Ovis aries: one gene and its partner. The protein of the gene in region 1 purifies or fractionates together with the protein of each later gene. This does not show direct contact. Links are inferred from orthologs where the notes say so. Each region holds a gene or a part of one and is shown on either strand. Other genes may lie near its edges.

Evidence for each region. Proteins that work in one complex are often made in the same cells at the same time.
Region 2: the proteins of ANKRD17 (region 1) and HOXB6 purify together in Homo sapiens (co-immunoprecipitation; 3 studies listed by BioGRID and IntAct, with this or other methods). This does not show direct contact. The link is inferred for Ovis aries from reciprocal best matches to the Homo sapiens genes ANKRD17 and HOXB6.

The regions. Positions count from the first base shown.
Region 1 is NC_056059.1:89,004,749-89,008,398, reverse strand, and holds part of ANKRD17 (ankyrin repeat domain-containing protein 17), read left to right. Parts: intron 1-106; coding exon 107-194; intron 195-1,584; coding exon 1,585-1,712; intron 1,713-1,957; coding exon 1,958-2,101; intron 2,102-2,778; coding exon 2,779-2,881; intron 2,882-3,650.
Region 2 is NC_056064.1:37,626,365-37,629,790, reverse strand, and holds the end of HOXB6 (homeobox protein Hox-B6), read right to left. Parts: intron 3,096-3,426; 5' UTR 2,986-3,095; coding exon 2,571-2,985; intron 1,542-2,570; coding exon 1,282-1,541; 3' UTR 651-1,281; downstream 1-650. UniProt on the Homo sapiens protein: Sequence-specific transcription factor which is part of a developmental regulatory system that provides cells with specific positional identities on the anterior-posterior axis.

The sequences.
Region 1 (3,650 bases):
ATTTAGATTCCAAAATTAGTCCAATTCTTTTCCTTTTGATTTTCATGAAAAAGAATAATTGTTCACTGGAAATTAAATATCAAATAAGTCTGTACTTTTTAAACAGGAGCATGAATCTGAAGGTGGAAGAACTCCTTTAATGAAAGCTGCACGAGCTGGCCATGTTTGTACTGTTCAGTTCCTAATTAGTAAAGGTAGGTTTGTGTAAGGCAGTGATTTTTTTCCCAGAGATGTCTATTCCCTGCCCTTGGGTATTAAGGGATTTAGAGGTAAAGGACATTTTGTGGGTATCATGTGATGGAGGAATGCTACTGAGATTTTTGTGAGTGGGTAGTTGATAAATACCCTGCAACACACAGAACCATCCATGAAGAGTTGTCATACTGGGTAACACACTTGTTGAGTAACATTTCAATAAAGAAAAATTTCTCTATGTAAATGAGGGTTTAGATTACTTGAAGTCTGTTCTATGTAATAATTTATCTTGAAACCTGGATTTTTGTGCCAAGTTTCTGCCACTGATTAACTTGAAGGCAAGACACTTTTCTCCTTTATTTATATTTCCCTGGGCCTAGGTTTCCTTCTTTGTAAAATATAAAGAAGTAATCATAAATATAGCACAGCCCACCCAAAAAAAGCTAAAAATTGAAATGGAAAAAATATGCCAAAAATGCATTTTTATTCATGGTCATTTATTCTATTTGAAAACCAACATCCTTATTAACAAAAGTAGCATATTATTACTTTCTTTAAATTATCTCTTTGGTATTTACTATATGAGTTCAAGCTGAAACTTTTTCATAAACTTTAGTATAGGAGATTAGAGATCTTACTTTTGATTCAGCATTGATAAAGAGAGACTATGTAGACGATATACAATTAAAAAGGCAATATATGCCATTTCTTTTTTATCAAAAATACTGAAGTTTGTTGATAAATCAGAAATAATTTATTGGTCAAATTATTTTAGGCAATTTAAACACTTGTGTTACATGTTTATGAATAACACATGTATTCAAGAATGAAATTATTTTCAGTTATTATCTCTTCTCTTCCTTTGTTTAATTTTAATGAATCTGATTCCAGTTTCTTCCTGCTATTTTTTCCATTTCCCACATGCCTCGCACAGTGCTGCAAATCAGAGATGAGAATTTTACTACTATTACTTCCTAGTTTTTGTTAATTCCTTCCATTATTTGGCCCATAGAGGGCAGTGTGAATTATTTATTTATTTATTTATTTATTTATTGGTTTTTAGTCATCTTGCCCACTGAAGATACAAAAATTTAGATAAAATTTTATATTTTACTTTTATAAAACAGTGATTATATTGAGTAATATATATTTTTATCCTTAGTTTTTAATGTTGCATACTTATACATTTATGGATGAAATTATGTTTGGGATTTATTTTAGAATAATTCAAGATGGGAGAGGAGAATGGATGTGGGTATATGTGAAATGAGATTGGCCATGTTTATAATCATTGAAGCTGGGTAATGAATATGTGGGGCTTCATTATCCTGTTCTCTCTACTCTTTGATTATTTTATTAACATTATTTTTCATGGATTGTCTGTTTTAGGAGCAAATGTGAATAGAACCACAGCTAATAATGACCATACTGTACTGTCCCTGGCTTGTGCAGGGGGTCATCTGGCAGTAGTGGAACTACTTTTGGCTCATGGGGCAGATCCAACTCACCGTTTAAAAGTATGTAACTGAAGTGTTTCAGGTAGCACTGTGAGTTAATCTTCACTCTTGAGCATAACACGTTATCTACAAGTTCAACTTGTATTGACATTCTGAATGTGTTCATTTTCTTTTTTTAGAGGAAAGTGTTCTTGACTAAAATTGAAACTGTAATGTGTCTGGGACCTGTTGGCTTTATCTTCCTTAATGGTTCTGTAAATTAATTTGAAAAACTGTTTTTTCCCTTTCCATATTCACTCTTTTAGGATGGCTCAACTATGTTGATAGAAGCAGCAAAAGGTGGTCATACAAGCGTTGTTTGCTATCTTTTGGACTATCCTAATAATTTGCTTTCAGCCCCTCCACCAGATGTCACTCAATTAACCCCCCCATCCCACGATTTAAATAGGGTAAGATTCTAAACTAAAGCATTTTATATTATATTATCTTTATCCCTTTTTTAGTCATAGTTCCAGATTAAACTAGAATGATTGTTTTTTGTTATAATACGCAATTCTCGTTAAAGATAATGTACTCAATACGGGTAATGACCTTTCAGTATAATACTCACGTTCTAGATTGATTTCATTTTGCTTTGCTTTCTTATTATGGCCAGAATAACCTTTTGATTTCCAAGTCTGTTTAAAAAAAATATCTTGGAGGGATTTCCTTGTCCCAGTGGATGGGACTTTTGTCGTATGGCCAGAAAAAGAAAAGTCATGGAAATAATTTGATACCAGCATATTTTAAGTAAATATGTTGTTTCCTGAGATTATGTTTAAAAATACTTTGAATGGATCTTCATAACTTATTCTTCATTCTGTGGCATCCAATCGCACAGTCATATCTGACTCTTTGCGACCCCATGGATTGCAGCCCACCAGGCTCCTCTGTCTATGGGGATTCTCCAGGCAAAAATACTGGAGTGGGTTGCCATGACCTCCTCCAGGGAATTTTCCCAACCCAGGGATTGAGCCCAGGTCTCCCACATTGCAGGCAGATTCTTTACCAACTGAATCATTTAAAGCATATTATTTAATGGAAGGTATAGGAAAGGCAGAAATATAATCAGTTTTATTTGTCTTAGGCTCCGCGAGTACCAGTTCAAGCACTGCCCATGGTTGTCCCACCTCAGGAGCCTGACAAACCACCTGCCAATGTTGCCACCACTCTTCCCATCAGGAATAAAGGTCAGTTATACTTCTAAAGCCTTCAGGTTGTCCAAGTAAAAATGATAAGATTGAAAAAAAATAGCCATTTAAAATTATTTTTCCACAAAGAAATGAATTTTACTAAGTTGGCATAAAAAATTTTTTTTAAACAATGAAAGAAGCATGTTATTGGGAAAGAACATAGTTGAGAGCACGGATTTGTGCTGGAATGAGAAATATTAATAGAAATTCAGATGCTCATCTTTGATGCAATTCTGATTATCTGTGATTTTCTCTAATAACTAGTAATTTCTATTCATGTTAAAATATTAGACTGGGTATAATCGGGTGACATTTTTGTAAATTACTGAAATTTCGATAGTGATATAAGGCATATTAATAGCTAGATCAAAATTAAATTTTATTTTAGAATAACTGGTTTAATATAGATTTTATATCTGAAATACCTTTTCTCAACCAAGAATTCAGAGTTACTTCAGATATGGTTGCTTGTTTCTTTAGAACTCTCAGGTCCATATTTTACTTGTGGATGTTACATCATATATGATTCATAAGTCATGTCCCGACACAGCGACTAGTTTGAATCAGATTTTCTTTTTAGAAAGTTTTACCTGAAGAACCAGTGTGGCTTTAACTTTTTGGTTTTTGGCTACCTGTATTATTTTACCAACAGTAATACTAAGTATTTCCACCAGTTCTTTTCAATCACTGCTACCAGTCTAGAGCCTTGGCACCTTTTTCAGTTGGTATACCAAGCAAATGATTGCTATACCGATAGCCAGATACA
Region 2 (3,426 bases), on another chromosome or scaffold:
ACTGCCCCGTCACCTGGCTTCCTGCCCTCAGGTCTCCGAAGAGCAGGGGGAAAGTCTTGCCCTTCGCCCAGGCGCCTGCCGGCGGCTTCACATCCCCCTACTTGTCGCTGAGCCGCTACTTGAGGCAGGAAGGGACGCCTGGAGACTGCAGCTGTGGGCAGGGAGACAAGACACCCGGTGGCCCCAATTTAGGCCAGGAGCCGAGGGCCAAGGCCGGCGGAAATCAGGCCATGTGGGCAGGCCAAAGATCACCGGCCTCAGGGATCCTGCGGACATAACCCAGCGCTGAGGCACAGAGACCCGCCGGGCTCAGTCTCTGCAGGAGCTCCCGGCTAGGGGGCCTCGGTGGCGTTCCCTCCTGCCACGGACAAACGAAGAAAAGCTAGAGAATAATAGGGGAACGACTCGTCTCCGTCCCCCAGTTCTGCACCAGAAAAGGCCGTTGTGAGCCTCAGCACCGGCGAGGCGCGGCGTTGGAGTCTGGGCCGGACCGCTGCAGCCTTTATCTCAACTGTAACTTCCGAGTCGCGTCTGGCCCTCTGGGGCCGACCAGAGCTCCGGCCTTCGCTGCAGAGTTTCCGGCACCGGGACGCAGGGGTGGCGGTGGGGGTGGGGGAATGGCAGGGGAGGAGCAGAGGTGACTGAGCAGCGAGGTTTTACGTCTTTATTATTATCATCATTATTAATAATATTAATATTATTACCGAAGTATTTCACGTCCAGAGCTAAGACACGACTACAAACACAACACATAGAAAATTAATAAAATAGAACTTTGTTTTCTTCTGAGGCTCCTCTTCTTACTTCTAGGTAGTATGTGCTCCTTCCAGTGGCTTTGGGGAGGGGCTGGGAGAGAGGTCTGGGGTCAGGGAGTCTTCGAGGCCCCCGCTGAGGGGACTGCGAATCTACCATTGAACCGTGCACGGGCGACATGGACGAAATGAGACGCGACACGGACAAGAGCATATTGCTCTGCTTCCAGGAAACATCAAGTGAGTCCGGTCCTCAGTTCTCACGCGGGAGCCTGTTCGGGCTGAGGCGGTTGTGCGGGCATGGAGGCGGCGCTGGGGTGCCGGCTGGGCTCAGGCAGCACGGCCTCCCAGCGCCCAGCGAGCGCTCTGCGGGCGGGGGCGTCCAGGAGAGCGCGGGGCCCCGCCTGTCGCGCTCTGGAGACCAGGTCCCCAGGCTCCCCCGCCCGCAGAGCCTTCCCCGGAGCTCTTCGCTGCCCTCCGTTCCCCGCAGGCCTCTCCCTTCGCGTCCCCCCGCCCCCTGCCAGCGCCTTCATTCGGCCGGTTTTTCTTCTTCCTCCTCGGCACTGAGCTGAGACGCGCTGAGCAGTTTGCTCTCCTTTTTCCACTTCATGCGCCGGTTCTGGAACCAGATCTTGATCTGCCGTTCCGTCAGGCACAGGGCGTGCGCGATCTCAATGCGCCGCCGCCGCGTCAGGTAGCGATTGTAGTGAAACTCCTTCTCCAGCTCCAGCGTCTGGTAGCGCGTGTAGGTCTGGCGGCCGCGCCGGCCGCTGGGCCCAAAGGAGGAACCTGTTACGCATAGAGGAGATGTTGAGGTCTGGGGTCACCAAGGCCAGAACCCCCCTCCCCCATTCGACCCTCAAACGGGGACTCTAGCCTGTCCCGGGATGCCCTCCACTCTCCCTGGTTCCCTGCCCCCCCCTTTCCTCACTCCTCCAGCGCCCCCTCCAGATTCCCTCCGGGTCTCCTCGGCTTTTGCCTTCTGTCTAGATTCTTGGTGGGGGGATGGGAGGAGCAGTTTTAAATCCCACCTGAGCCTAGGGGGAGGGGCTGGAGAAGCACTGGCCAGGTGTGTCTCTTCCTAGACGCATCTTTTCTTCCCATCTGGCGCCCCCACCACCCCGTGACAGATTCTGGCCCTTAATCTGTAATGACGTGGATCGATCCGTAGTCAGCATTAAGGGCTCCTCACTTTCGTGTCCCGTTAATGGACATCAATTTGGGATTTAAGACCGACAAATAATCCAACCTGAGACCCCGGCGCCTGCTTCTCCCTCTCTCCGACTCCGCCCGCTCCCTCTCTTTCTTCCCCTTATTCTCCCCCCCTCCTCTGACTACCACCCCTTTCCGGGTGCCTCCTCTTTCCCCAGCCCCCGACCCCCAGGGAAAACCAGTCCGGGACAGACTCAACTCTCCCTCGCCAGCGTCAGGCCGCCCCCCTTCCCATGACGTACTCCGTTTTTAATGAACAGTCTTGGGGTGGGGGACCGGGCCAGAGCTGGGGGCGCCAGGGAGAGCCCAGCCAGTGGCTGCGCGGGCTCTGTCTGCCTCCCTGACCCGGATCTCGGCTGCTGCCTGGCCCTCGCAGAGAACCCACTCGCTCCCCCTGGCTCGGAGTGCATCTGGGACTTTGCAAACTTTGCAACTCCTGAGGGCGTGAGGGCAGCGCGGGAGATCGAGGCAGGCGCCCAATCTTCCCTAAGCTCCAACCCGAGAGGCTTTCTCCGTGGAAGAATTGGGTGGGGGGGCTCTCTAGTTCTGACTCTAGGGGGGAGGGAGCCCATGGGGGTCGCGGCGGCCTCAGCAAGTCTCACTCACTGTTGCATGAATTCATCCGCTGCATCCAGGGGTAGACCGGAGTGGAGCACTTCTGCTCCTCGGCCTCGCCGAAGACGCTCTTGTCCTGCGCGCAGTCGGACTTCCGCGGCTCCGGGTGGAACGGGGGCGGCTCGTCGGCGCCCGAGAGCGCGCAGGCCGACTCCTTCTCGCGGTAGAAGGCCGGCGCCGGCCCGTAGTCGCAGGGCGCCGCCCGGCCGTAGCCGCCGCCGGCCGGCGGGTAATAGGAGGAAGCGGCAAAGCCCTTGTCTTGGCCGGGCCCGGGCCCGTAGGGCGCAGGGTAGTGCCTCAGAGGGTCCGCATAGCCCGACGAGTAGAGAGGGAGCTGGCCCAGGAAGGACTCCTGCCCGCTGGCCAGAGTGACGGGGAAGGTGGAGTTCACGAAATAGGAACTCATTGGGAGGGGAGGCGCGCGCGGCCGCTGCTGCTCCGCCGGGTTTATGATTTGTTGTGTTTTATAGTCCGAGCGCCGCGCCTATTAGTAGTATATCTGAGATTGGGTTTTAGCTGAGGGGGGATGGCGAGGTGCCAGTGAGGGCCAGAAGGAAATACAACCATCTGATCCAACACTGACCAATGGCAGAGGCAGGAATTGTCAAATAGCACCCAGGAGGAGCGCAGCCCGCGCGAGGGACCCGCGCACAAACCTATCAACCTTTTTTTCCTCCTTCTCCTTCTGCTTTCTCTCTCTCTCTCTCTCCCCAACAGCACAACGCGTCCCGTTCCACCTACGTAGGATCTGCGACAGAGGCGTCTATGCCTTTGAGGGAGGAGGGAGCACTTGGATTGAGACCACCCCATCCTCCAGTGATTAAATAAATATATCCCTCCCCTCCCC